Drosophila melanogaster: one gene and its partners. The protein of the gene in region 4 interacts with the protein of the main gene of each other region in a pairwise test. Each region holds a gene or a part of one and is shown on either strand. Other genes may lie near its edges. The genes, in order: Hsp27, RpL15, Ir85a and AstC-R1.

Region 1 (7,623 bases), 9.2 Mb from region 4:
TTATATAGTATGTTTGTATTGATATGGTGTATCTGCCAGCTGCAGTCGGAAAAGAGCAAAAACCTTCAGAGATTGCTGCGTACGAGATGCCCCCTTGTACATACGATACATTCCCCATGTACATACACACTGGGTACTTGCTCCCATTTACCTAACCAAGGGGAAGAAATCCGCCGGACGAGCATGCTCGCACATTATGTGGCCACCTTTTTGAATAGACAACTTCCACTGCGTTGGCGTTGGATTGTCCAAGCCCTGGGCACCAAGAGTACTCTACTTCAGTGGAGGAGGAGTGGTGACAAGAAAATGGGGCCATAAATAAAAACTCGAATTATATAACAACCAGAGATTGAGTTCTATAGCAATGCCCATGTATTATATGGTTATTCAATCGCTACTGTAACAACAAATTGTAAACAAATTGTCATTTGATTTGGTTATTACGAAGTAATTCTGAATTCTAAACAATGTGTATATAAGCTGAATATTTATCAAGTTGTACCAAGCAAATGTGCAGCTAAATCTTACATACATACATATGTATTTGTCTTAAGAAATTGGTCAAATATAATAAAAGGTTACAGCCTCGTTTTCAATAAACCAAATATTGACTATTAGAATTTATTAAATGTTTTTAATGTTTTTTGGTTTATGTTTTCATCTATCGACCTTTGAAATTCAAAATAGTTGCATTACATTTTATTCAAATAATTTTTACATCCTTCGAATCCTTTATTGTATGAATGTACATATGTTCCAAATCGTATCATTTTTACATTTTCTTACTGATTGGAGTAATAATACGCTTACATCCCATGGGTTATTACCTACCCGGCATTAACCACTTATGTATTTTAATTAGATTTCCCCACTACAGAGCCCCATTCTTGGATATTAATTAAAGTTAATAGCTTAAATGCCAGGCCATAAAAAGAAGAACTGTTCTGCAGTCTCGAAGTTTCGCGAATTTACTCCATCCTTCGTGGAATATACTCCAACCTTCCTATCTGCTATGTATGTACATACATACGTGCTTACATACGTACATCTATACATACACATAATATTTGCCGGTGCTGATGCGACTTATCACTCCACCAGGCCTTTTCATTCCCACTCCCCTAGGAGATTGCTCATTTTCCATAGCGATACTCTCACTTTCAATGGCAGATAATGCGTAATTGCGGCAAATTCGAGAACTCTGCGATATTTTCAGCCCGAGAAGTTTCGTGTCCCTTCTCGATGTCGATGTTTGTGCCCCCTAGCACACAGACACGACGCGCACACACACAGCGCCGACGGGCGCACGCACACTACGATAGCGAGCGGTTGTATAAATAACCGGCACTTTCGTGCAACCGGCGTCAGTTGAATTCAAAAAGCCAAAGCGATAACAGCTAAAGCGAAAGTAACCTATCAACAAAAGAAGTTTATTCTTTGAAGGAGAATCATCTTGAAGCAATTAAAAAACAAAAATGGCAAATATTCCATTGTTGTTGAGCCTTGCCGACGATTTGGGCCGAATGTCGATGGTGCCCTTCTATGAGCCCTACTACTGCCAGCGCCAGAGGAATCCCTACTTGGCCCTGGTTGGACCGATGGAGCAGCAGCTGCGCCAGCTGGAGAAACAGGTGGGCGCCTCGTCGGGATCGTCGGGAGCCGTGTCGAAAATCGGAAAGGATGGCTTCCAGGTCTGCATGGATGTGTCGCACTTCAAGCCCAGCGAACTGGTGGTCAAAGTGCAGGACAACTCCGTCCTGGTGGAGGGCAACCATGAGGAGCGCGAAGATGACCATGGCTTCATCACTCGTCACTTTGTCCGCCGCTATGCTCTGCCACCCGGTTATGAGGCTGATAAGGTGGCCTCCACCTTGTCCTCCGATGGTGTCCTGACCATCAAGGTGCCCAAGCCACCGGCAATCGAGGATAAGGGCAACGAGCGCATCGTTCAGATCCAGCAGGTGGGACCCGCCCATCTCAATGTGAAGGAGAATCCCAAGGAGGCGGTGGAGCAGGACAATGGCAACGATAAGTAGAGGACTCGTTCCGAGAGATGCCCTGCATTATTTAACCATTATCAAAGTCATACATCTGTTTTATAAGCTGTAGTTATCCAAGGACACTTCACTCATACACAATAGCCATTAAGGGTGTCCTGCTTTAATCTTAGTTTGGAATATGTATTACTAAATTGGCGAAATTAATATTACCCATAAAAATAAATAACAAGTACACTTACTTATAATTGTGTTTGGTCTGTTTTTCTGGTTGGTTATGGGTTACTATTACTATTACTTTGGGAATTGTTTGGCTAGCTTGGCCCTTTTTCCTGTGATCCCGGTTTCTAGAATTTACTTTCTGCATTGTATATTGCATTGTTGTGTCACGTAAAATGGCATTTTTATTTAATTGTTGTTTGTGTACATAACTGACTTTTTACATTACTTCGGTAAAGAGACTTGAAGCTATGAATGTAAGGAACTTCAGTCAAGGTTAAATCCTTATGTAAAGCATGCATAAGTACATCATGTACATACATACGTACATAAGAATATACATCCCTTTTCACTCTCTTCTTTTTAATGAATTTCTGTCATCTCTACAAGAGATGTACGTTATGTACGTCCTTATAGCACGTACCTATGTACATGTATAAATTGAACTTCATTTTTGTATGTTACCGCAAATAATTACGTGCATGCACACATACACATACATATGTATGTATGCATGTAGTTTTGAAAATAATTATGTATTTTGGTTAACTGGTGAACCAAGAATAAAAAGATTCTATATACACATATACATATATATAGAAATGTATGCATATGTACATATAATAATCGAAACACTTGCAACAGACTGGCAATGATTTGCAAAATTTTCAATTGCCCCGTTTCCCACTTCGCGAAGCAGTGGCGAAAGCAACTGCAAAAATGTTTGCAACAAACAAAAGAACGGCAAACATGAGGAGCAGAACGAAGCGAGACAAGGGTTCAATGCACTTGTCCAATGAAAATACAAGCTCTGTTGCACTCTGAAAAGACAGCTTTTAAAAGAGCGATAAGAGAAGAAAATGCTTTAAATAAATACATATATCTGCATATATACGTACATGTACATACATATGTATGTACTGCATTTTAACTGTTCGTTTTGCTTTTTATTCGCAAAGAGAAACTCCCCAGAAAAGAAATGTCAAGAAGTTTCTGGTTCTTTCTCCCTCTCTCTATGAAAAGCCGGCTGTGCTAGAAAGAGCCAGAAGATGCGAGAGAAAACTGTTTGTTGAATTACGGGGCGTATTCAAAGGGGCTTTTAAATGTCGCTTAAATTTTAAGTTTGACAGGCTAATAATTGCTTGCCTATATCTAAATATTATTATATTTGCATTAGGGGATCATAGGGAAAACCTTCTCTGCAGGCAAAATCTAACGAAGATGGCAACCCCCCATCATTTTATTAAAGTTCCGTCCCTGGTTGCCATGCACTAGTGTGTGTGAGCCCAGCGTCAGTATAAAAGCCGGCGTCAACGTCGCCCGAGCACAGTCTAAACTGAAAAATTGAAGGCAAACGTTGAAGCAAACTTCGCTAAAAAAATTCGAAAAAGCAAAAAAAATTCCTTTGTCTAGACAGGGTTGTGAATAAAGAGAAAAAAAATCAAAAATGTCAATTATACCACTGCTGCACTTGGCCCGGGAGTTGGATCATGACTACCGCACCGACTGGGGGCATTTGCTGGAGGATGACTTCGGTTTTGGCGTCCATGCCCACGATCTGTTCCATCCGCGTCGCCTGCTACTGCCCAACACCCTGGGACTGGGTCGTCGTCGTTATTCGCCGTACGAGAGGAGCCATGGCCACCACAATCAAATGTCACGTCGCGCGTCGGGGGGTCCAAACGCTCTGCTGCCCGCCGTGGGCAAAGATGGCTTCCAGGTGTGCATGGATGTGTCGCAGTTCAAGCCCAACGAGCTGACCGTCAAGGTGGTGGACAACACCGTGGTGGTAGAGGGGAAGCACGAGGAGCGCGAGGACGGCCATGGAATGATCCAGCGTCACTTTGTGCGCAAGTATACCCTGCCCAAGGGCTTTGACCCCAACGAGGTAGTGTCCACTGTCTCATCCGACGGTGTGCTGACCCTCAAGGCCCCGCCGCCGCCCAGCAAGGAACAGGCCAAGTCGGAGCGCATTGTCCAGATCCAGCAAACGGGGCCTGCCCATTTGAGCGTCAAGGCACCGGCACCCGAGGCTGGCGATGGAAAAGCCGAAAATGGCAGCGGCGAGAAAATGGAGACTAGCAAGTAAAAGACGAAAAGAGGAAGACTAGGAGATGAAGAAGACGAGAAGAGGAAGAAGACTAGAAGAGGAAGAAGTCGTGAAGGAGGAAGAAGACGACGAGATTCGCTGGCGAAGCACGAGAGAAAGAAGAATTTAAAAGAAGAAACGGGAGTGTTGCCGCGCTGCTCGGAGAGAGCAAGACTAAAAAGGACACACCACAACACACCCAATGTATTACATTCACACACATCACATCATTACATCATCATCATAACATCCTAGACTAAGTGATTTTAAACTCCATTTATCATAATGCATAAAAAAAACAAAATTTTAGTGTGTATTATTAGGCTAAACAACTGGAGGATTCATTGCTCCCTTTGAGTTTATACTTTTTGTAACAAGAACAGGCGCAACACTCGGGAGAATTTTGCATTTCATTTGTGAATAAACGAATACAATAAATACAAATACACGAAAAGAAGTCAGCTGTCGAGTTTTTGTTGGTTTTTTTTCCTTTTTAGCTTCGAATCTGCAAATGTATTTGCATTTAGGGTAAACCGGCTTTTGTTGGGTGTCGTTAACTTTCAAGGGGTCTTATGTACATATTCTGTTTTCCTTGTCCTTGAATTGGACTTGTGGAAAATTAAATGGTCAGCCAATTGCTTAACCTTTGTCGACGATTGTTATGATGATTTGTAATGATTTTGCACAATTCAGAAATCGATATAAAAAAAAATGGGAAATGATTTTTGTTTTTCAATTACATTTTGACAAACGTCATGCAAATATTTCCAGTTCCGCGCACACTGAAAGAAAATCCAAGATAAGAACGACATTTAAATAATTTAATCAATTGTTTGCACATATTTATTTAAATATTTAATACATAATAAAAAATTTAGTTGCCCGTTCTGATTTCATATTGGTTGTTTTATGCTCGTAACTTGTAGCGATCATAAGTATTTACTGTTAATTCTATATCTATATCTAAAACGGCTTTCATTCATATTTCTCAGCTGGGTGTTGAGATACGGATATATCTCAGTTTTCTCGGCTCCGTGGAGCTTTCGCTGTTAACCGCGAAAAAGCTTTTAGTGGTTGTCATGTTGCTGTTGTTGGTTTTATCTTAGTTGATGTTAAGTAAAAATGTATTTTATGTATTTTTCTGCATTTTCTACGGCTGCGGCTGCTGTCAATATGTTTTTGCTTGCATTTATGCACGTTATGTATGTATATTCAATGACGCTTAATCACAGATCAATTTTTTAAAATTTCATTTGACTTAGAAGTTAAGAAACAAAACACATCCGAAGCACGAGAGAAAGAAGAATTTAAAAGAAGAAACGGGAGTGTTGCCGCGCTGCTCGGAGAGAGCAAGACTAAAAAGGACACACCACAACACACCCAATGTATTACATTCACACACATCACATCATTACATCATCATCATAACATCCTAGACTAAGTGATTTTAAACTCCATTTATCATAATGCATAAAAAAAACAAAATTTTAGTGTGTATTATTAGGCTAAACAACTGGAGGATTCATTGCTCCCTTTGAGTTTATACTTTTTGTAACAAGAACAGGCGCAACACTCGGGAGAATTTTGCATTTCATTTGTGAATAAACGAATACAATAAATACAAATACACGAAAAGAAGTCAGCTGTCGAGTTTTTGTTGGTTTTTTTTCCTTTTTAGCTTCGAATCTGCAAATGTATTTGCATTTAGGGTAAACCGGCTTTTGTTGGGTGTCGTTAACTTTCAAGGGGTCTTATGTACATATTCTGTTTTCCTTGTCCTTGAATTGGACTTGTGGAAAATTAAATGGTCAGCCAATTGCTTAACCTTTGTCGACGATTGTTATGATGATTTGTAATGATTTTGCACAATTCAGAAATCGATATAAAAAAAAATGGGAAATGATTTTTGTTTTTCAATTACATTTTGACAAACGTCATGCAAATATTTCCAGTTCCGCGCACACTGAAAGAAAATCCAAGATAAGAACGACATTTAAATAATTTAATCAATTGTTTGCACATATTTATTTAAATATTTAATACATAATAAAAAATTTAGTTGCCCGTTCTGATTTCATATTGGTTGTTTTATGCTCGTAACTTGTAGCGATCATAAGTATTTACTGTTAATTCTATATCTATATCTAAAACGGCTTTCATTCATATTTCTCAGCTGGGTGTTGAGATACGGATATATCTCAGTTTTCTCGGCTCCGTGGAGCTTTCGCTGTTAACCGCGAAAAAGCTTTTAGTGGTTGTCATGTTGCTGTTGTTGGTTTTATCTTAGTTGATGTTAAGTAAAAATGTATTTTATGTATTTTTCTGCATTTTCTACGGCTGCGGCTGCTGTCAATATGTTTTTGCTTGCATTTATGCACGTTATGTATGTATATTCAATGACGCTTAATCACAGATCAATTTTTTAAAATTTCATTTGACTTAGAAGTTAAGAAACAAAACACATCCTACACATGGACTAAATAATTACCGTCTCTGGTTGGTTTTTGGGCTTTTTGGCATGGACAACTTAGTGGACATACATATATGTATATGGTATGGGATCGGAGAGGCTGGATAATAAAAGCAGTACACGAATAGAGGATAAATTATACATCGATTTAGCCACTAAATCAATATACTGGTTCTAAATGTTAAGATAACTTAACTTAACTTTTTTTTTTGTGTTTTGTGTTAATCATTGCAGTCTCAAATTGTTTATGGGCTTTGCTATATAAAGAGGAGAACATAGGGATTGTTGGGCCGCTGGCCACGATATGGCTTTTGAAGCCCCTTGGTGTGCGGTATAAAAAATAGTATTTCGATTTTACTTTCTATGTGGATCTCGGGGTCTCCGTCGACCAGCGGTGAATACTTGAGAGAGCAGAGCTTATTGGGGGGAGAAAGAGCGCGCAGATCATAGTGGATCACATCAGATCAGTTGGGCAGGATACTCCATTTCACTTCTGGAGTAGACTTTCACAGCTGCTGCTGAGATTTGGCAACGACTTGAAACTGAGCCGCGAGCGATCCACCTGGGCGTCCGAGGGACCGTAGCCCCTGCTGCTCTTGCTGCTGCTGACCCCATTCACTCCGCGGTCAAAGGATGAGGAGATCACAAGCTGATGGGAATTCCGCTGCTTCTGCTGGCTGCTGGCATAGGCGGCAGGTGGTGATAGTGGCGATGTGGGCAGGTCGATATCCAGCACGGTATCCGCTTCGCCGGCCTTCAGCTTGGGATCCGAGTAGCGACGTAGTTCCTCCTTCGTCGGCTGACCACCTAAACAATCAGTGGTGCAGCAACCAATGGGCAAATCAACG
Region 2 (7,081 bases), 8.7 Mb from region 4:
ACAATGGGGAACTTACTACATACTAAAACTTTTAAAATTTTAATGAAATAATTTAAAAATTTAGTATTATACTTCGATTTAGTGTTTTGTGTAGAGTTTCTTGATAGTCTCAAAAGTGTGTAAACTTGGAATTTGTAGTTTATTTTCTGGTATATTTAATATTTTCAATTTGTTTAAGTAACTTTTGATATAAGTAACTTTTGATATAAGTATTATAAGTAAAATAAATACTGTTTAATTATATTTCATAAAAAAATGCGTTTAATTAAGCAAAGAACCCTTAATTTCTACCTTTAAAGACAAAAATTCCAATTATTTCACAGTGTGTACAGTGACAAACTGTAATCATAATAAAACACAAACTTTGACTTACCTCCGCGCTGTCTGAACTCATTTTACCCAATGACAACATGAAGAATTCTGAGCACTCTGAACTACTATTACTATCATTGGCTCATTCATTCTTTAAACGCATTCAGTGAGTTCATTTAGATCGGAAGCTTAAAAGAGAACGCGGCCAACTGAATGGCATGCATTGTGAATACGCAGTGAAACGAATGAATACTCTAATTGAAAACAAAGAGAAGGTGTTATGCAGCACTCTAATATGTATGTCGCGAGCTATGTGGCACTGGCGGTATTGCAGTAGAAGTATTGCCACTGAGGAAAGAAATCAGTTCGACACAAATAATCGGTACCCAGGGGACACCACGGAATTATTTGACCTTCGAATCGACTTGAAATATTATAATGTCAAACATTTCCATTTTCCCCAATTTAGCTATTTTTCTAACTATTGCTTTTCATTTTTATTATATTTTTTTGTCGTTTTTGGCATTTATTAATTATTTTCAGGAGTCAATTATTTAAATATCTTTTTTATTTTTCTCTATCAACTATTACAGTCCACTTGCTATTCTTAAAAACAAAACATTTATAATTTTGTTTAACATATCCGTTTTATACGCATAACATTCATTCTTTACATAAAACCATAATGAGAGAGCACTACTTTTATTTGTGCGCTTAATGCATTGCTCAACAAAAAATATTTTTGTATACAGTATTTTCATAAACTTTTATGAGTATTTTGCAAATATTAAAAAATATATCAAAAATAGATACGTATCGCAATTACTATTCGAGCTTTCATTTTTGTACTATACTATTAAATATTTAATAGTATATATTTATATTTATATTTATTCAAAATGACTTTTATTGAAAACAAACTCGGTTATTAGCGAAAATTTAAAAAAAAAATCGAGTAGCTCTGCATATAGTAAGCTTTACTCAAACGGATTAGAGAAATTAAAAGGAAAATTAAAAAAGTTTTCTTCCCACCATCAAATTGGAATATAAGAAAATAATTCTACTGAATCTAATTTAAATTTAAAATTTAAAATTTAAGTCAAAAGACTTAATAAATATTTTACATAATTAAAGCATAGACAAAGGGAATTATTATAACTGCTGTAATTTGAATAAATAAATAAACCATAAATTTAAAAAAAAAGTCAGTACATTGAGAAAAAAAATATTTCATAAAAATAAAACATAGTAGAAAATAAATAAAAATATGAAATCTGTTTAGTGCAAAAGTTATATCTGGAGGCACTGAGTGCGGACACAAGCTATCATCAATCATTGTTGTCATAATTTCTCACACCTCGCAAACGTAATACTCTAATTTGTGACATTTAAATAGATTCGGTTAATACTACAATATTTCTATGCTATATTTAAATAATAATAGCACTAAGGCAATGCAGAGAAAACATATTTCACATGATGCCAATTGACCGAAATTATTATAGTTATTATTATAAATTAGTTATTATATAAATTATTATAGTTATTCTAGTGCCAGCAACCGGCTGCAGAGCTCTCCGGTCTCTGGCTCTGACTGTTGTTATTCTAGTGCCTATGCAAATAACATTTGTCGCTTATGAAATTGGTTACTTTCAAAACATTTTTAAATCTGAACCTGTATATCGGTATCAAAAATATAATCGTGCATGATCCGGTAATCGAATTCGTATGAATTTTATGATTCCGCTTTTGGTCGTAAACCAATTTTGACTTTTGTCTGGCCGAAATGTAAAAATGCCTTTTAATACCCGTTATTTGTAGAGTAAAAGACTTACTGGATTCGTTGAAAATTATGTAACAAGCAGAAAGAGCGTTTACGACTATACAAAACATATTATTGAACAGGATCAATAGCCGAGTCGATCTAGCCATGTACGTCTGTCTATATGAACATCGAGATCTCAGCATACAGGTTCTAGAGGCAAAGACGCAGCGCAAGTTTGGTGACCCGCCCACTCTAACGCACGCAAACCTCCAAAAACTGGCACGCCTACACTTTTGAAGAACGTGTTGTTTATTTTTAACATTTTAATTATTTTTATAATTTTTTTTATTTGCAACAAAATTTTTTCGCACTAGCTGAGGAACGGGTATCTGATAGGCGAGGAACTCGCCTCCGATGTGACAAGCACACATTTGCTGTCGACAACAACAAATTTCGATTTGCTAAGGTGTCGCTAAGTACGTCGTCAAAAGTTATTGCGGGAAAACGAAACAGGCAGGTAAAAATATTTATACCATATATTAAAATGCTTTCATTAAAAAATAAATAAAAACTGTGAAAAATGGGGTAGCTATTTTGTATGAAAAACAATTGCAAACAGCAATTTCTGCGTCCGTCTGGCTTCAAAACAAACGATTTCAAATATATAAAGGATATCTTCACGTTGTTTGATTTTGACAAAGAAAAAAGTCAGTTGTTTGAGCAGCAAGAAACGAAATAAAGCGAAATAGCATAGAAATAACGCATAGCACTATAGCAAAAATTATTTGAAAACCAGAGCACCTAATAACGAAATTAAAAGACTTTTCCCAAATCGAATGCGATAAGATAAATTAACATGGAACGGAACATGCTGGGATGTTTTAAAAATAATACAATTCTGTGAGAAAGGGGTATAATTCCGTTTTACAATGTTTCATGCATTAGGGTAAGTATATCCCAAAGCAACTCTGAGCTTGTTTGTCGTGTGATCCAACTCATTGCTTCCTTCTTTTGGAATATTTCCGTGCTGTAAGTTGGTTGTGCATTCGGGTCAATAATTTTTCTTTAGTACGAGATCATTTCGGAAATAAGTTTATATATTATTTTCGGTCCTTTTAAAATGTTTTTAAGTTTGTATGATGATTTTTTCCATGCACCACTCTGAGCTCAGTGTAGATTATGGATATCTGACGGATGTTATGTTCGTTTTTGTACTCACATTGCTATGTAACATTGATACGAATTATTATCTGTTCTAGATTGTAATATGTACAGTTTAAGAAGTTGATGGACCGATGATGTGACAGTTATAAAATAAATAATGAATTTGTTACTAGGTCTATCAAATTGCAGAGATGGGGGCTTATCGGTACATGCAGGAACTTTATAGGAAGAAGCAGAGCGATGTGATGCGCTACTTGCTACGTATTCGCGTTTGGCAATACCGCCAACTAACGAAATTGCATCGTTCGCCAAGACCTACTCGCCCGGATAAAGCAAGACGTTTAGGATACAGAGCCAAACAGGGGTTCGTGATTTATAGAATCCGTGTTCGCCGCGGAGGTCGCAAGCGTCCAGTTCCCAAAGGATGCACTTATGGCAAGCCGAAGAGTCATGGTGTAAACCAGTTAAAACCATATCGTGGTTTGCAATCCATTGCTGAGGTAAGAAAAAACGAAATTTGCTAACCACACGTTCGAACAAGTTGATGACAACCCCTTTTGACATACAATATATGTTGACATTAACTTCCTTAGATGTCTGAAATATTCTTGTCCAATTAAGAGGTCCTCACCAAAAAACACTGAAATATATCATGAATTTTATTTTCTTGTAGGAACGTGTTGGTCGTAGACTTGGCGGCTTGCGAGTTTTGAACTCGTATTGGATTGCGCAAGATGCTTCTTATAAATATTTTGAAGTAATCTTAATTGATACTCATCACAGTGCTATTCGTCGTGATCCAAAAATTAACTGGATCTGCAAGCATGTCCACAAGCATCGTGAATTGCGTGGCCTTACATCAGCTGGAAAAAGTTCGCGTGGCATTGGCAAGGGATATAGATACTCCCAGACAATTGGTGGATCTAGGCGTGCTGCTTGGAAGCGCAAGAACCGTGAGCACATGCACAGAAAACGATAAATTGTGAAGCATTTATTTTATCGGTTAAATAAAGCACTTCGTGCACGCAAAGAACATATCTAAAAAATATATTTTTTGAAAAGAGCTTTTAAACGCAAAAATAGATATAGTAACAGGTTTTCGCATTTTTGGTTTGGCATATTGGTTTATTAGGAATTTTGGTTTAAAATATAAAATTTCTTTCATCTACATTAACTTCCAGTTTTTATTTTCAAAAATGTACTAAGACCATTTTTCGGCAAGACTCCAATTCTTTTACAAAAAATTTTAAAATATATGCAAATAATCCCTTTTTCGTTTAGCGGATCTAACAAAAAAGTACCTCAAGGTTGAGCAAAAAATCTCATTTGAACGACGATGGGCACGCAAACGTATTTTTGCTTGTTATAGCTCTTCTGCTTCATATCTAAAAAATGCCATATCGAAAGATATTGGAAAATGAAACAATATTAAATTTAAAAAAATGTTCAAAAGCGAGGGCGTGGTTGTTTTGGGACTTATGTAGGTGTAAGAACGGGCGTGGCGGCTTGTATTTAAATAATATTAAAACGTTTTTTGAAAAGCTTAAGCGTGACAACATTCGGAAACACAATTGCGCTGCGCTTATTGTGTTTCTGAAAGCTGCAGGCTTAATCTCAAGATTTTACCCTTTATAGTTCCTAAAATCGATACGTTCATACGTTCAAACGAGCATGGCCAGATGGACTCGGCTATTGTTCCTGATCAAGAATATGTGCATTTTATATGGTTGTAAACGCTTCCTATTACCTGTTAAATTCTTTTCAACGAATCTGGTATAACCTTCTACCAAAGACACTAGAATAACAAGATGCGTAACGGCCATACATTGCTCTCTGTCCGCTCGCTTACGCTTACGCATTAATCTATTCGGTTCACTCTACTTTGGAAAAACCTGAAAAAAATTAATACATTTTTTTCCATTTTTTTTTTAAATTTAAAAATAAGCCTTTAAATGATGTAAAAAGCCTTGTATTATGTGGTTTAAATAATACAGTGATAATTAAGCATCGATGTGCATGGGCGGGCACTAGCTATGAAATGAATGACAAGGGAGACTTAATTGCAGGGCGATCTGCAAGAGTTCGGGAGCCATGATGCTCCCTCAGCTTATCTACATATGTATACATATATGTATGTTCATAGATGAGCATGGATTTGGACAATTATGTCACCAAAGTTTACAATAAAACAATTTCAGAACTGCTGGCGACTGCGAGACCAATGAGTTCCTTAATTTTTGTAAAATTGTTACATATAGTGCAAATCGCTCTATTTAGATTACGATTTTCCTTTAATTGGCAAGTTCTCTAATTATACGTTACTCTTAGAAAGAGTATAAAGGTTATAAGGGTATTAGCTTCCAATCAGTATATAAATGTTGATTTTTTTGTAGTGTAAGTAGATTACGAAAAGCGGAGTATCTATAGGCAAGAGTTTTCTTAAAAAACATACTTCGGAAAACTTCTGGATGTTAATTTAATATTAATTATACATTTTTCCTCTATGATTACCGCCAACTCCAAAAGCGTCAATAAAAAGTTAATTTCCTTTTTTCTTACAAAAATTAGACAACTACATCATATATAAATGAATTAGTTACTAGTGTTATAGAGTAACTAAAGTTGCCGTTTAACGTCCCAATGAAAGACGGAGCGATTATTTCGTTACAATTTTATTTGCGGAGACTGAAGCTACCAGTGAAACCGCAACACATATCGTTGCGGATTAATGTTCATAGCGGCCACGCAAATATATGCATATATAGCATTATGCATACTTTGAAGAATGCGGTTTCTGTCGCTTATTTTATCTGGCCGTCCGCGGACGTTAACTTTAGTTGGAGGACGCCCTCGGCCGACCTGATTCCGGCAATCGCCACATTCAATTGCCTTGTAGCTCTTCTGGCCCTTAGGATACGCCAGCTCACGAGGCCAACGCAAAATAGCAGACAACATACTGAAGCCATGACAAGTGCCACCTGTTGTGGGCGATCAGCGTCGATCTCTTCCTTGAATTTCCGGATTGTCTCCAAATTGCTTTCACTCAGGCGATGAAGGTAAGGGAGGCTGAGCACATTCTGCGCAGTGCGACACGCCGCCAGCGTGGAGCTCTCTGGCACATGAGCTGCCCGACGACAAGTGACAAAAGGCGGTGCTGTTCGAAGCCGTGCAGTCCAAGACGGTGTAGACTTCGTTATTACATTCAGCGATGACGTTGTTGGTGATTCGCAGCACGACTCCTTGGTGGCTAACGGGGAAAATAGTAATCTTTTTGTGGACTGAAGCACTTTTACGGACAACACGGACATGAGGTCTCCTATGGGGGTGTTCGTGGGCTCCTCAAGCCAAAGTCTGCGTGATCGAGAATATTCGGGATAACGATATTTTGAAGCTCCATCATAAGCATTCTATTTCTCGCCAGAAAGGTTTCATACAAATGATTGGAGTCAATTTGTGACCCCTTTGCCGTCTTGAGAATTACGTTGACTGTGGAGGTAAGTTGATTTATCTGGTCCTGAACTTAAGTGTTTATTTCTATTTGCCTATTGTTCGCGTCGATCAATCGCGCTTCTAAAAATTTACTCCTCTCTAGATCGCTAGCATCTGGTGTGCCAGCTACGACTTTTAGCATGGAACCCAGAAAGTCTAGGCTTCTGGCCACCCTGTGGTGCAAGCCTAATGCATCCAACAGATCTTGGAGGTGTCCCGTATCCACACTCAGGAAATGCTTCATGCGTGACCGTGGGAAGTGTTCCATTAGGGCGATTGTCTCTACCACTACATGCGTGTACTCCAAAAGGTTACGTAGGCAAACTCCTCCCATACCAGATTCTGTCCGTC
Region 3 (8,444 bases), on a different chromosome or scaffold from region 4:
TAAAACAATTTTTTTTTTGTTATATATTATACCTAACAACCTAATAACAATTAACAATCAACAACTAACAATTTCACCTTTTGGGTGTCGTTGAATTAAAAAATATTTTATGGAGCAGTTAATTGCGCACACACACACTTAAATGCTTTACTAGGTTGTTACCCTTAAATAAACGCTATTTTAACGAGTTTGCGATACACTTTTTCTCTGCGTGCATTAATTGATGTTGCATTTAATTCTTGCTGCTGCTGGATGACATCGTTGACCGATTGTTGATGATGTTGCTGCTGCAATTTGCTATTTCGCTATGCAAATGATTGCTGACTGCTAGAAACTGGCGCACTGGCCGACATTCGATCGCGGATTAAAGAGTTCTGGCAGATGCGAGCCCCGATTTCGATCGCGAATCCGATTCACACCCATTCCAGATTCCAGATTCCAGATCCAGATGACACGGCTCGGTGATCTCGGGATCTGGGGATCTTGGCTCTTGGACGTAACAAATGCTCGACTACTTTGGCGGCAATAAAACAATTACGAGAAATGAAACAGGCAAGATTAATGAACTGTTAAATCGAATTCGATCACTGGAACGTAACGCGGCTATATGGCTATATGGCTATATGGCCACGAATTGCCAGTTGGTGGCAGAAGGAGAGATGGATGGGGGCAACGGTGTGAAAGGCAATTAATTTTGATCGTTTTTGGCATGTTTCACTAAACTATTATAGTGCAAAGTCGGTGAAATTATGGTTTCGTGTGCGTTAGACAATGCCAAAGTGAAAGACAAACTGCGAATCGGTTTTCCTATTCAAAAGGTAACGATTGTTTGTGTGGCATTTGGTTCCTTCATTTTCGGCACAGAAATCCAGACAATGCACCCCGATACACGCCGATTTTCATTAGCGCCTCTTTTGACGAAACCACAACGATTCTGGGCCGCGAATTTCACCTCATTATGCACCGCTTGAACTCGGATATATACCCATTTGATTTGTGCACTTCACTGGCTGTTTGCTTATAGGATTTTTGGTATTATATCGGGGCTCATATAGTATCTCTGAGACACCTGCGACACCTGCGACCGCTGCGAACTTAAAAACCGAACTGACGGCCATTCATGCGAGCGGTAAACTCTCGAGCGGCGGGAGAGAAAGTGAGTGAGTGAGTGAGTGGTGCGAAAAACCGGCTTGGAATCGTCAGCTCCACTCTCTTTATCTCTCTTTCTCTCTCGCTCACGCCAGCGATCCACTTGCAACACTTGCGCTGCTGCAACTGCAACGCTGCAACTGCCGCAGCAGGTTTTTTTCTCACTTTTTTCCCTTTTTTTCGTTTTACTTTTTTTTCATGCCCACCGCTTATCGACGCGGCGATTGTTGTCTTTGCCATTCTCATAACTAACGCAAAATTATATCATAGATCATGCCAATAGTGCATAACCACAGGGGTAAAAGATACAGATATATCACTCGGGCACCATCGCCAGGCAGATACATATATGGATACACTTGCATCCCGAGATACAGATACTGTATCTGGCCAAGCTCTTAACTTTTAACCCGACTCTCCGGCAAGTTCAAGTGCTGCCCCCACTCCAAACAGCTATAACATAAAAAAAACGGCCAAAGAAACAAAATACAAACTCACCTCAGGTGTAACTTGAGCCTGGCGTATGGGATTTTGCTCGGATATATCTGTATCTGTATCTGGTTCGGTTTTAGCTTTTGTTTCTCCCGCCGCCTTCGTAGTGGGTTTCTTTGGCTTTTGGCTCGTTTCGTTGGGGTTCGTTTTGGGTTTCGTCGTCGCTGGCACTTTGGCTTCATTCTGCTTCAGCTTCTTGGGACTCTGCAGTGCCAGCAAGTCCTTCCTCAGTTGTCCTATATTACGTTCTTTGGTCTTTATTTCCTCTAACTGGAATAATAAGTAGCAGAGATTGGTTAGATTCATACTAAACATATGGAGTTTAGAGATATATGAGCAATACGTGTTCATCCACCTGTAAAACTGTTCAATAATCAACCAGAATTGGTCTAATATTTATACAAGCCCATGTTGGTGGCTCAATTCAGCGTTATTAAATGTTTATACCATTAATGGGAATACACAACTTGTTGTGTATGTTTTTAATGAGAACAAATGGTAGGTAACTATATCCCATTAGTTTGGTGTAAGTGCAAAAAGAAATGTTTATATGTATATGGTCTTACTGATTGAAACTAAACTCTAGTAATAACATCACGAAAAATGAAAATGTTTATACGAATATATGACCAGTAAATCAAAATGATATAAGGCTTATAATATGGGTACTTTATAGCAGCTAGTTGAATATGACCTGTTTTCTTGCTGTGCAAATTCAAAATGCATGTATGAATTTCAATGGTGGTATGAAAAGTTGCCCGTCCGCTTCTGAACCGCCGGGTTTCGTTCCGTAACGCTTCCCCCCCCCCCCCCCCATTCACAACCACTTCTTTTGAGCCAACTTTTGGTGACCCGTTAGCAGCCGCTACGCACAACTTACCAAACGTGTTATTTCAATTTTGGCTGATTTCTGTATGTGAGTCAATCGGTTTTCGTACGCGTTCTTCAATTGCCGCATATCGGCAGCCTTGAGTCTATCAGCCTGCCCCATAATCTGCAAGAAATGGTCGAATCATACATGTTTGCGTGTTGCCAACTTTTTGGATACGGGGCTCCAAGCAGCGGGAGATACCAGAAGCAAGTTAATCCATGCTGTTAGTTTGCACTTTGCGATTAGGTCGCGTACGTCCATTAACCAAACGAGACACAAAAACACACAAAAAATGCTACATAAAGAACGGGAAAGGAAAGTTCTTGCCACAGTCGAAGAATCGCATACCCTTCATAAAAAAAAATTAAAAAAAACGAAAATTTTACAAATAGCAAACACCTAAAGACTTTCACTTTATTGAGTTATATGCCTACTTAAAATTCATCGCACAATCTTGGGAACTATAGAGGGTTACTAAAACCTGAAATTAAAACAGTATGGAAAAGAATATTTCTGTGTTAATTAGGTAATGCAATCTGTAGGCAGTAACTCGCAATGTTCCTTTTACAGGGTATAAAAGTGCAGAAGATATAGCATAATATTTGCTTAACGCCCTTTGCCGATATGGCAAGCATTAGGGAAATTGCTATATCGAAATTGGCTCTGGGTATAAAAACAATGGTGTCATCCCTCTGCTCAAACAGTTGGCATTGCAATGTCCATCCAGTGGCTAAAACACATTCTGCTCCTGGCAATCCTGGTCAATTTGGCCGGGACACGGGAGAATCACATTCCGTTAGATTTGAAGAAAAGTTCGATCGTGATGGTCAAGATGAGTCAGATCCTCTGCAAGGCTCGGATTAAGGTCCTGTTCGTCTACTTCGAGAATCAAACCTCCCACGAGCATACGGGTCAAATACTCAAAGAGGTGACCAAGTGCGACATATCGTACATATCTCTCAGGCAAGTTGATCATTTAATCCCATAACAATACTGATAACATATAATAACCACAAATATTCGAATATTTTACTTTCAGGAATCAAAATACACCACTGGAGGCGGTCAAGGATGATGGCATACTAATGTACATGGTGATGATCACCACAAACATATCACAACCATTGGAGCTTTCACTTATCCGGAAGAAATCGGCTGCCAAGCATCGATCGCATGTTTTTCTCTTGGTCAGAGATGCGGATACCGTTTCCGATGCTTGGATGCGGGCCAGTTTCCGGCAATTCTGGAAGATATGGCTACTGAACATCGTGATCCTCTACTGGCGAGATGGACGACTGAATGCCTATCGGTACAACCCGTTTATGGACAACTATTTGATACCAGTGGACAATAAACCAAACGAGGTTCCAACTTTAGAGCAGCTTTTCCCAAAGACCATACCCAATATGCAGAGGAAGCCGCTGAGAATGTGCATCTACAAGGACGATGTGAGGGCAATCTTCTGGAGACAGGGAACTATCTTGGGGACCGATGGCCTGCTGGCGGCCTATGTGGCTGAGCGACTGAACGCGACCATGATGATAACGCGTCCGCACTCGTATAACAACCACAATCTCAGCTCGGACATATGTTTCCTTGAGGTGGCCAAGGAGTACGTGGATGTGGCCATGAACATTCGTTTCTTGGTTCCGGATACCTTCAGGAAACAGGCGGAAAGCACGGTATCCCACACGCGTGATGATCTTTGCGTGATTGTGCCGAAAGCCAAGACTGCTCCCACTTTCTGGAACATATTTCGCTCATTTGGCTCATTAGTTTGGGCCCTAATTCTGGTTTCTGTTCTGGTGGCGAATGTCTTCTGCTACATCCTGAAATCTGAAGTGGGTAGGGTTCCCATGCAACTTTTCGCCGGAGCCCTAACTATGCCCATGACCCAGATTCCGCCAAACCACTCGATCCGATTGTTTCTGATCTTCTGGCTTTACTTTGGACTACTTATATGCTCGGCATTCAAGGGAAATCTGACCAGCATGATGGTGTTCCAGCCTTATCTACCCGATATAAACCAATTGGGTGCGTTGGCTAGGTCCCACTACCACATCATCATTCGTCCAAGGCACGTAAAACATATCCAACACTTCCTAACCCTGGGACACAAGCACGAGTCCAGAATTCGGGAACAAATGCTGGAAGTTTCCGACACCCAGATGTACGAAATGATGAGGAACAATGACATAAGGTATGCGTGTACGTGGATTAATTGCTGTAATTCCATAAAATCTACTTTCGCAGATTTGCCTATTTGGAGAAGTATCACATCGCCCGTTTCCAGGTGAACAGCCGTGTGCACATGCACCTGGGTCGTCCGCTTTTCCACCTGATGAACAGCTGCCTGGTGCCGTTTCACGCCGTTTATATCGTCCCCTACGGTTCACCCTACTTGGGTTTCCTGGACTCACTGATCCGGAGTTCGCATGAGTTTGGATTCGAGCGATACTGGGATCGCATCATGAACTCCGCCTTTATTAAGTCTGGAGTAAAGGTGGTAAACCGTCGACGCGGGAGTGGCAATGATGAACCGGTGGTCCTCAAACTGCAGCATTTCCACGCCGTATTCGCTCTGTGGCTGGTGGGGATCGGGATGGCATGCATTGTGCTGGCCTGGGAGCACTTGACCCACAACTACAATTTGGCGGTAACAAAGCGGCGGGACTAACTATCGCATGCAGCATGCAATGTGAGGCGGATGATTGTGTTGATGTGGCGTCCACTTACCTGGGTCTTCTCCTCCTTGTTTCGATTCGCTTCCTTCAGCACGGCAATCTCGTTAGTCAGTCTTTGGATTTCATAGTTGATGAGGCCATCGGCGGTCACATGTGCACCACTCGATTCTGGGCCCGATTCGATGGCCTTCTTTATACCGTTGCTCTTCTTGGCCATTTCCAGCGTATGCTGCAACTTCTTCACTTCACTCTTCCACCGACGACTATCTGCGTCATTCTGAGCCCTGGGTTGAAATAAAAAAGCGATAGATTGCATTTTTTAATGTCTCTTTAAATTCAAAAGATCAGATCGAAATGGGTTTTAATATCAAACGTGTGACTATTCTATCATATTTTATATCTAGATGAAACCAGAAATATTTAAATGTAATCTTGAACAAACTGATTGCATGTATATTTATTTCCGAGTTTACTGATTGCCAATCGTCACTTTCATGAAAGGTCAAATATGTTTTCAGTGCACGAATACTTTTAAAACGAATGTATTTGTATTTGATAACTCAATTTAAAAAGTTTCACAACATTATGCAATATAAAATGGTGCGATTAAGGTAAAATGAAATGGGCTTATCACGTTCCTTATTGGTATATATGTATATTAATGGACTTACCTTAAGGCTCTCACTGCACCGCGTTCTGTGATCAGACTGGACTTCAGTTCATTTACCTCCAGACGCAGTTGCTCCGTGAGGGCATTTAGCTTCTGGATGGTGTCCATGTTCTCCTGCAGTTTTCTCTTGATCCTTTGTGGAGGTGCTGCTATCACATTTGTGGTAGTCACGCCACCAATTATTACGGGTCGTTCTCGATCTTTTTCTGCCTTTCCCAGTTGCTTCTGGGAGCCGGCAGATGGGCCCTTCTCGGCCTCAAAGGATTGGGTCTCCTTGGGTCGCAATTTGCCGCGACAATGCAGCTGGATGCCCTCGATGCGAGTGCGCTTCTCCTGATTCACCGTATCCCCAACGGAAGTCAGGGAGCTGCTCAGTTTCTTCTTGCGCTTCAACTTGTTCTTGGCCATCGTTTGCCAGTCTTCGATATCGTGCTTCTCCGTGTGGAAGCTCTCTTTGAGTTTGGAGCCAGGATCCGTCCGGCGGACCACAGTCCCATTGTGGGGCGCCAGGATATGGGCGGTCCTGCTCATTGTATTACATCCCTTGCTAGAGGTCGTTTTGGTTTGGTTTTCAGCCATTTTTATGTAACTTTAGTATATAAAAATGTTGCCGTCGTTTTTTTTTGGGTTTCTGCTTTTTCAAGTACTGCATATGCCGGTGCACCCCGATCCTGCCGAAAGTCCCTGCTATACTTCACCTGGTCATCGTTGGATTCTCCTCAATCTGTAAGCGATATATTCAAAATAAAGTATACAATAATGTGGCTTTAATAATGCTTTAAGCATATACAATAAAAGCCCTACTCTTATCTACTTATTACAAATTATGCCTTGAAAAATTACACAGTATACAGAATTCCGAGTCTTTGCCCGCATGGAGGTTGTTTCTTCAGAATCGCAAAGATTCCCCTTTGTCTGTCAGCATTTCAATGGCTTCTGTTTAGCCGTAGACTCTTCAACGCTTTTCTTCACTGGGTTGAACTAATCAACAAGTTTCCCCCATTATTGATTTCAGCGGAAAAGCTTTTTCCTTCATTTCGCCACATCGGGTCGGGCCACACATATGAATGAAAAACGAAACATATAGGCACCCTGGGACTGGGAAATAGTTTACAACGCCAATTGCGTTGGGCTTACCAAATAAACTGGTCCGGAATGACTTTTCTTAATGACGTCATGTGGCGCGCCTTTTGGAATAGAACAGAATATGTACGTACATTCATATGTACATGTGTTTTTTTTGTTTTGTGAGGTTCCCCACTGGGGCGCTTTACACGCAATAAAACCGCTTTTCATTACTTTTTTTGTTCTACAGAAACAGAATTCTTTGCACTGCTCCCACATCCGCCCCAAAGATTATAACAAAGCATCTATATATATACTGTATGAGGTGCACACACGAGTAGGCCCACAGTTCATATGTTCATAGAATGCTCTCCGAGATTTCTGGCCGATCATCTTTATCAAGGCCACGATCTATATACACATGTAGAGCGACAGATTTGTGTACTTAGCAACCTTCTGGCGCCTAATTGGAATTTGATTTGTTTTTCCAGCTCGATACACTAGGTGTTAATAGGGAGGGATCTTAAGTGAGTGGTGCCCAAGTTTATTACTTTCTGGTTATCAACATAAATTATAAGTAATTATTAGTAAACTTTATGATATTGACTCTTGGACGTATTTCAAAACCGAACTGTTAGTGGAAAAACTACCCTAAAAGAGGTGTTCGTTCCAAATGTATGTAATATTTATTTTGTGGCTTTTCTATAAACTGAAGGACTGGGGCTAATGATGGCTCTCATGTTGCATTTCATTTAATTAAATTTAAAACCGCCCCCAGTCCACTCGATAATAAAGTGTTTTTGGGGTCGACATACACGCCATGGTGACATCACAGCCTCGGTGTGACCGGCTTGGTTGGGATTGGTTTTATACGAGCAAAGCCACCCACTCGATTGCCATCCACATCCACAGCCATCCACATGGGCAGATGAAAGTCTCTTTTTTGCTCTTTAAGTATGTATATTTTCAGTCATATATCAATTTGAAAATATTGCCAAACGATGAGTCGGTCAGCCGTCGAGTGTACAGTCTGCGGCTCTTTCGGCTGATTCACCGAAGATCACGTATACGCACCATTAGCTCTGAAATCCTTGGGCGTCGTAGACCAACAGTTGGTGTGCCTCAAACTTCTGTATATGTTTATTCACTCACTCACTCACTCACTAAGTCGACCGACGATGTTGTAATGTAAACAGTTTATTTACTGCCTGCTTGCCACTGTTTCTTGCAGTGTAATGACGTCAATACGTTAATTTTCAATCAACTTTTTTCGCGCACAGACCAAGTAGAATATCGTCGGTATGTGGAGCACTTCTTCGACAATTGTTAAGCAAAGTATGATATATTTTTGTTCAAATATATTCACACAGTTCGTACAGGAAGTTCGAAATTATATCAATTAAGTTACACAAGTTCGTCGGAATAGAAGTGAGTTATGTTCGGTTCGTTTGGGGAGTATCCTAATTAGTTGCAATCAATTTGAATTGTAAATTAAAAGAAGTGTTCTATACTA
Region 4 (8,644 bases):
AAGGGGAAATTCAATTAAAATAATGACTCAATTATTAATTGACTTTATGGCACTCTAGAAATAGCCGCTAAACACCTACTAAATATGCGAAATACATATTTCATGGCAACGCTCATAAAAACGCGCCATTTCTGTCCAAACTATTAATTCATGTTTTGCGCGCAATTATTATTTCTAATGTGTGACATTTATTATACGCTGTGATCATTTGCATTAGACATAATTTGCACTGGCAAGAATGGGATAAATTTAATGGGGAAATAATTTCAAGTGTCAAGTGGATAGAAAAAAAAGGGGGGCGTTACTTCAAAGAACAAGAGCACTTGCACTATTAACGCAAACTATGTTATTCATGGAGGAGAAAATGTATGAAAAATATATTATTACCACAACAATTTTCCAATTAAAAGCCATATAAGCATCGTGTTTGGCCCACTTCATTTGCGTATACACAAAAGCTAAATTAGCTTAACAACACAGAATCGATATTAAACTAATTAATTAAGTTTTATCCCAGCAATATATCGCTTTAATGATTTCAATACCATTTAATTTGCATATTATTTTTGTGATACTGCTGAGCGCGTAAATCTACCAAAATCAACCATTTATCGTAATGGAGTTCTGAAATTACACCAAACTAATAGCTGCATAGGGAACTCTATTTATTTGCATACATCGGCCAACAGAGTTCATTAAAAATTCATTGGGGCTCGCGACTTTGCCAACTCACTTGAATATTTAGCCGAGCTTGTTGGAAATCAATTTCGGAAAATTGCTGGTATTTATATGGAAATTCAACGGTGCAGGAAAGTATAAGGGAAAAAATTAACAGAATTTATAAGAAAAGTTTGCCTGCTACCGAAAACTTTTTCACAACAAGAGCAACCACGAAAAGGTCCAGGGAATGGGTTTTAAAATGATAAACTGACCCTCATCGAGATTGTCGTCCTTATGCGTCTGCATTCCCAGACGCCACCGACAAAACCGCCCAAAACTTTCCCAGCCACGTCGTCTGTGTTTTGGCCAACTTAATTCAATCAAGCGAAAATTGCTTTAAAGTCGAAAATGATTTAATATTCTTGTGGGAGTGATTTCAAAGCAAACTTTAATGAGCTGATTCCTAGCAGCAGTAATTACTCTGGACAAGCAAAAATGCGTTCTTGAAATTCAATTATCTACATTAAGCTACATATTTTTGCGGCCAGTTGTCAAAGTGAGGCTGACAAATAAGCAAAAGCTGGTAATGAAATCTTTGAATGCCCTTGAGTAACAAAACAAATTTAAATACGTTAAGCGAAGACAATGCCATTCAGTACAATGTCCTAGATTATGGCTCATTTTATTGACTTTGACTGGTTGGCACTTTTGACGTCGTTGGCTTAATTTCAAATTTTCTTGTTTTCCGGACTTATATTCAAGACACAAATAAATTCTAACATGGCATGCTTAATAGTAATTTTTTTAAACCAGCCAAATTTATTTATTTACATTTTCATAGAACCTTCTGCAACATTTTACCGATAAAAACTATATTTTTTATAGTGTGCTTCGAGCGGTATTTAAAACATATAAACTTTTCACTGGTAGATAATTTAATTTAAAGTTTTGTGTACGACACAGAGGGGACTTTGCTATGGATAAAACTTTTTACGATTTGAGGAATGGTAAACAATAAACATCTCCCAATTTCGGTCGCATTTAAAGCACTTTTCAGTGCCAACGGAAAAGGATTAAAGCAAACTGTCGGAAATTCAACCAGAAGGATTAAAAGTTTTGCTCAAAAGGCCAAACTAAAGTTTGACTCCGAAGAACGTCGACAGTTGCCATATTTTCTGTGTCACTCTCTTTCCAAAGTTTCTTCTAGATATCCCCCAACTCTTACCATATGTTTGCCAGCTTTTTTTTCACTGTCATCTAACCAAGTCGAACTTTTTTCTAAACGAAAACATCAACTGGCTCCACATGGAAATTATTGCAGCAAATTTCTTTCCAAGTTGGGTGCGAACAAAAACGGAAAATTTCCTGTTCTTCTAATGACCAACAGAGCAAGGGAGATAACTCCGGGTTTGGGCCAGGTGGATAGTTTTCCAAGTGCACGGCAATTAGATTTCGACGCCTGGGGCTTCTTAAGTTGGAGCTCTGAGACGGTGGCAGTGCTGAGATATGATTTATTTACCCAAAAAATGTAGGAGGAAACTAAAGATTGGTATCTGAAACGCAATCACTTTCCAAACTTAATTTAAATATCTGATAAATTTGCAAACTAACTTTGTAAACTTTGGAAAAAATATGTATGAATGATTTATATCGAGTGTGATGTTTGGTAACGAGGCAAGAACATATTTTTAATGTTTTTAAGAATATATATATGATATAGCACAGTCTTGCTATATCATATCCTAAGTAAATTGTGAGAGCATGCATTTCTTGTCCTCCTTTCCATGTCATTACTGATTTCAATTATTGCAAACAACTGTATGCAAAATGCATGCAATTAAGGCTAGAATAATCAATCAGCAATCAAAGCCTTTCCGAATTCAAGCTAATACACGTACATTTGCAACTATAATTATAACATTGACTGTCCCAATACCGATATAATTTTAAATGCAGTGCCATACCTGAACTACGAAACAATTGTGCCGAAAATAATATGTTATGCAAACACATTTGTGTTATTGGAATTTGGTAAAAGTATAAATAACACATTACGTATACGGCCGGTAAGCCATCCCATAAACGATTTTGAACATTTTAATTATAAGGAATTATAAATCTGATAAAATAAGGGTATATGCTCGCTAATATATGTTAAATTTAGAGTAATTAAATTTAGGTCCAAAATAACTGGAAATAATTTTTATAACAGCATGATACCAAAGGAAGGTAAAACTTTTTAAAATTTCTTGTTTTAGCATGAGATAGATAACACATGGAAGTAGTTTTGATTAACCTATAGCGACAACACATCTCAATATTATACTTTGATAATCCTTGTTCTTATATCCTTCTAAATGGCACCAGTAGAATCAACAAGCACTTGCCCAAAATGGCAACAGAACTGCAAGCGCTAACATTCGACTGTTGTTGGCCAACGAAAGTGAGAGTTCGTATAAGAGAGAAAGTGTCGGCGGGAGAGTCTCCCTCACCGCGTGCTCTCCCGACCAACTGTTAATTGAGGAAAATTGCAGCTGGGAAAACGGCAGCAGACCGCAACACGCATCAGGCATCAGGCCAATCGGGCGACGAACCTGAAAGCCGAGCACCGAGCGCAATTGTGGATCCGAGCGACTCTGCAGTCGGAAAACTCGCATCGGAAAATTCGCATCGGAAAACTCGCATGCACCATAACAAAATTCGCCGGCAAATGCGGCGCGCAGTATGCAAAACAACACCGGAACGTGCAGTTCAGTCACTGTATCTGAATCTAAAATAATAATATAAAACCAAACTACGAGCAAACCCAGGGTAAAGTAAACAAAAACTTCGCCAGCGCCAAAGACCAAATTCGATGAACGTGCGCGAAAAACTCAAACCAAATAGGGTGAGAGTGGCGAAAAAGTTGGGCGGGTGATAGATAACCCCCGGGGGCTTTTCCTGCTGCCTGCATCCAATCCAAATTAGCGGCCAAAAACGCAAGGAAAATAAACAAATAATTTTACTACCAGCCGCCGTCGAATCACAAATAAATCCGACGTAGAGTGAAAAATAACATTAGCGTCGCAATCCGAGGAATTGCAGAAACGCTTGCCAAATATTTTGAAAACCCCGAAAAGTGCGTGGTGTGCCATTTTATCGGATTCGAAAGGATGAGTGGCTAGATGACACAATATATTCAAGTGGTAAGCAAAATGTGCCTCGAGGAGCATCGAACGGGTTGCCTTGTGTGCACATCTAAAACGATTGGGTGCTATCTATCTCCAATGTGATTAGAAATATGTATGTACTATATAGTAAATAAAAAATAAGCTCTCCTCATCTACATATAAATATAATCCTAATTCTAGTTTTTGAACTTAAATTAAATATAAATATAGTTTAACTTGAAGGGTTTGCAATACTTTCGCTCTGTGCTTGGGTTTTCCATTTTCAACGTTCAAATGTTTGTGTGCGTTGAAATTTATCAGATAACTGAAATTCTGTGCGAATAGCAATTTGTAACTGTTGAATGTCTTGCGTTGAGGGAAAGAGGTTGGTCTTCCTACGAGGCGATGGGATGGGTTGAGGAACGAGGATGCCCGATGATGTGGAAACTGAGAAGGGCTGACCATCGACGGCAGCCGCAGTAAACCAGAAAGGATTTTGGGGAAACGAAACAAAATTTGACAAATTAGGGAATGCTGGAATGGTCGTAAATGTTATTCAGAGAAGTGCTATGCTGAGAATAAATGCAGAAATTGTTACGGAGACATGTTGATTAATTCGTTATGTGAGATGTGCAGAATAAAAATGCCAATTTAAGAAAAGAAATGCCAAGGCCACAAGTAATTTTCTTAATAAATATCCTGCATACATATTAAAGTGCAGCAGAAATTATTTGTTATTGGCTCATTACTCCTAGGGGTGTGGAATTTTGTAAACTTGATTTAATTGTAAGTAATTCCCATTTTATTATGAGAAAGTTAACCAAGTGGTTCAGAACCAAAGCTATGAGCTACTTACAATTTTTATAGAAGCCCTCTATGTTGTTCAGCTATGAAACTCAAGTTCCTTTAGCCTCCGTAGTTCCCCCTTCACACCAGATAACCCGGCGAATGAGCTCATCCAGCTAAGTAAAGTCCACTAAAACCGAACACCCCCTCCCCGCAAGACCAACTAAAAGGCACAAGGAGGCGGAGATAGCCACTGCCACCCCATGACCATAAAGCCCAATCAAAAGGCCGTTGCACTCGCTGACTAACGGACTAACTGAGTGAATGACGTGCCCTGGCCCAATCCTTCAGTCAATCGGTTTGATGGCCTGAGTCCGAATGTGGAGCTAGAAGCAGCACGGGAAGACAACGCAAACAGCAGGCGAAAGTGAAGGAGCAAGTCACGGAGGAGGAGCAAACGAAGCGTTTCAGCAGCTGCTGCTGCGACTCTGCAACTCGGGGCGTGTAATTTGTCAGACAGATTTCTTTTAGCGCCAGGACACAACCCCTCCCATCCAATCCAATCCAATGCTTCCTACACACCCACACTCAGCAATTGCCCACCCACAAAAAATACCGCCCACGTCATTGCAACAAAACTGCTTCCTTCCTGACTTTTTTGGCCATGCTCTTTGAAACTGAACTGGGCGTCCGACGAGGCTGGGATTGCTCTTACAAATCAGATATTCCCTTTAATTATATAATTTACAAATCTTTGTTCGTGAGTTTATACATTACATACATAAAATCGGAAGTGTTTTAATTTGCTTTTACTTTTGCATTTAAAAATGAATTATAATCAAGTTGATATAGTATGCAATTTTTTAGCTTGAAACTATAAATTGTACACTTTTAAATCCGTTTTATTTTATAATTTTAAATCAAGGATCTTAACAGAATAGACATTAAAAATTGTAGTCTTTCATTATAGGTTTGCACCATTGGTGACATATTTTGTCAATGTTTCTGATACCAAGTAGCATTTGGCAAAAATGTGGTTAAGATAAGAAAAAATGTATAAAACACCCCGGACTTTTATTAAAACCCATTGAATAAGTGAAAATGGGAACAGTCTGTGCAAAGGTATTGAAAAAGGAAGGGAAAGGAACGAGCCAGACATTGACATTTCAGTGCAAATGAAGTGATAAAACGTAAAGGCAAAGCGGCGTCAGCTAGAAAATTGCCAAAGTGGGTAAAGGAAGTGTAGGGAAAAGTGTGGAAGAGAGAGACAGACATAGTTGGGGAGAAAGAGACGGACGACTGAGCTAGATAGAGAGGGCCTGGCAGACAAAGCGCGTCGAAAATGCGTCTAATTTGATGGAAGCGATGCATGCCTTAACCTTTCGTCGGCGTCAGGCAAACAGACAGCAGCAACAACGAACACAACGATGACAGGCACCAAATGATAGCATTTCCTCCCAACTCAAAGGATCCGACTTAGCCAAGAACAAGGACACTGGCAAGGGAAAGGGAAGGGGAAAGAGTAGGAGAAGGGACCAGCCAACTGGGAGAGGATGAGCACCGGATTCAAATGGCGGAACAAGTGCCAGAGATGCTGATGTGGCGCCTCCTCAGCTGCTGACAACAAATTGATGGCCAAGGATGCACAGAAATTCCTCGGAAATTAGTCAACGCACAAGGGATTCCCACAAACTTCACTTAAAGGGGAAACCGTTCTGAAATATTAGACCGTTGTTAATATCCCAATCCTTCATGCTTTCCCAAAACAAAATTCACTTTCTTTCCTTAATCAGAACGAAAAAATATCCAAAAAAGTCCCTCAAAAATACAAATTTAGATTTAGTCTTTATTTTATCATATCACAAACAAATAAAATCTCAAATATTTAAATATTTAAATTTAATCGTAAAAATGATTCAATATTGAGCAAAATATATAAATTTACACACTATAGTACTTTTAAAATGGGTTTTCAAAATTCTGATGCATTTCATTTACATATAACAAAAAATATATTATATTTTATCGGAATTCCCTTCTGAAAAGTGCGTAAAACTTTTCCATCACATTTTCCAAATAATTAATTAAGTGGCACAAACCAGTGTTTCCGCTAGAATCAGCCCCTGGGTTAAAGTTTTCTGCTGCTAATTAGAGAATTTTCAATAATTATGCATCATAATTGACAATTCAGTTTTTCACTACTCATCACTTGCGGACGGATGGGTCTTTCCAGCACCGTCAACTTTGAACTTTTTCTGCTGCACCAGACGACAGAAAACGAACAAAACTTTTGCAATTAATTACGGACAAGACCCCTAAACTAAGAAGGGGTTAGATCGGGCGGTGGGTTACGTTCAACTTATCCCATAGAAAATACAAAAATTAAATAATAATAATGAACGGGATAGGAGGAGCTCTGTATTAGAGAGATCTGCTGCAATTAGAATTTTTTTTTTTAGAACTAAAAAGGAAATGGAAATGCATTCAAAGGGGTTAAAGGGATGGGTAGCATATCATATTCAACTGTAATGACTCTCTCCCCTCCCGACTGCAATGGCCTACTAAAAGAGAATTAATGAGAATGGGCGCAGAGGGAGGGCGGCTCTATCCAAACATCCACATCATGATTGACGAGTTAATGTGGACTTAGTTAGGGTTCCATCTGGGCCAACTGATGGCGAAACTGTCAATTAATGCGAGCTGCCAGTGGCTGATGATGGGATGTACGAGTATAGGAATATGGCGATGAATTCAGTCTGAACAGTTGGAAGCTTGGAAGAGTAATGCCAACTATTGTGATGAGCTAATATAATTGAAATATAGAGTTCCGAAAATATAAATTCTACATTTCAAGGTATGTCATTTTAAAAACTGACTGTTGAAAGAATAAAATAAGATCCAGCAGATATTACGAAACCTTTGTTCAAGAAATGTTGATACTTTCCAGTTTTAAAGCCAAAATTCATAAGTTTATGAATATAAATAACGATCCTTTACAAATATATTAATTTTTTAATTTTAAAGATATTTTTTTGTGAATTAAATATAACAAACCTGTAAATTTAAGGCGCTGCTTAAAGCAAATAATAAAGAACACGAATCCTTCGCCGTAGAGAAAAAATGAGAAAGTGAAGGAGCAAAGTTTTGCATCAGAATGTTGGCACTTTGCGTCCATCAGCAGCTTTCACCACAGGAATTTGCAGCACTTTTACCGTTCTCCTTCTGGCTATCGGAAAATGTGCTGCGCATGTGCAACGCAAGTCTGCGGAAAAGTAATAACAGCGGAACCTGCCCGTCTTCATTAAAGGTGCAACTTTTCAGGGCGCAATATTGCAAGCGTTTTCCCGACGGGCCCCCCAAGTTTTGGCCCCGCCAAGAGTCAGACCATGATTAATGTTCAAATTAAACAAGGCCGCCCTGACTTTAATGACGACAAAAGAGCAGCCACAATAACAATGCCACCAGCGGCAGGAAAACACAACTAAAACAAAAGTGTTAGTCACACCCGAAACAAAAACAACAATGCCGTTCGGTAGATAATGATGGCAAGTTTATACAAAAAATGATTAGTCTGGGGGCTCACTCAATGTCGCAGCTGGGGCATAAAGTTATCAAACTCTGGGTCATATACAATAACAATGTTGTTATAGTCGACTTGGTTATTAATGCAATGGGAAAAAGAATTAGTTGCAAAATTAAGACGAAACAAGAAATACAATACGTTGCACCAATACATTTCTTAACTCAAACAATGAACTAGCAAAAATAAATTCATTAAATTCAAATGAAACTTCTAATAGCTAGCCAAAACCAACTTTGGTTACTGCGCTTTTCACCGCCAAGTCACCAAATCAATCAATGTCCTGTTAACCCCTGAATTAGACAACAAATTTGTTGGAGTTTTCACTTCATTTGTGAAATCATTTTGCATGAAAGTCAGCAGCGATCGATTTCGTTACGCATCCGATTCGATTTCGCAATTCAATTAGCGGCCCTAATGGCAATGACGAAATGAATGATTGCCCAATTGACACCAGCCAGCAGTTCAT

Evidence for each region.
Region 1: the proteins of AstC-R1 (region 4) and Hsp27 interact in a two-hybrid assay, tested with the Drosophila melanogaster proteins (one large-scale study listed by BioGRID).
Region 2: the proteins of AstC-R1 (region 4) and RpL15 interact in a two-hybrid assay, tested with the Drosophila melanogaster proteins (one large-scale study listed by BioGRID).
Region 3: the proteins of AstC-R1 (region 4) and Ir85a interact in a two-hybrid assay, tested with the Drosophila melanogaster proteins (one large-scale study listed by BioGRID).

What each region holds. Positions count from the first base shown.
Region 1 is NT_037436.4:9,380,523-9,388,145, forward strand, and holds Hsp27 (heat shock protein 27), read left to right. Parts: upstream 1-3,540; 5' UTR 3,541-3,663; coding exon 3,664-4,305; 3' UTR 4,306-5,172; downstream 5,173-7,623. Other genes in the region: Hsp23 (heat shock protein 23), read left to right, coding at 1,476-2,036; CG4080 (uncharacterized protein), read right to left, coding at 7,263-7,623.
Region 2 is NT_037436.4:27,264,178-27,271,258, forward strand, and holds RpL15 (ribosomal protein L15), read left to right. Parts: upstream 1-3,077; 5' UTR 3,078-3,346; exon of another isoform or gene 3,347-3,414; 5' UTR 3,415-3,432; coding exon 3,433-3,741; intron 3,742-3,776; exon of another isoform or gene 3,777-3,846; intron 3,847-3,914; coding exon 3,915-4,220; 3' UTR 4,221-4,268; downstream 4,269-7,081.
Region 3 is NT_033777.3:8,791,457-8,799,900, forward strand, and holds Ir85a (ionotropic receptor 85a), read left to right. Parts: upstream 1-3,227; coding exon 3,228-3,460; intron 3,461-3,551; coding exon 3,552-4,712; intron 4,713-4,765; coding exon 4,766-5,189; 3' UTR 5,190-5,248; coding exon of another isoform or gene 5,249-5,480; 3' UTR 5,481-5,510; downstream 5,511-8,444. Other genes in the region: Pif1A (PFTAIRE-interacting factor 1A), read right to left, coding at 1,648-1,911, 2,522-2,635, 5,249-5,480, 5,868-6,445.
Region 4 is NT_037436.4:18,556,860-18,565,503, forward strand, and holds the start of AstC-R1 (allatostatin C receptor 1), read left to right. Parts: upstream 1-3,398; 5' UTR 3,399-3,845; intron 3,846-8,644.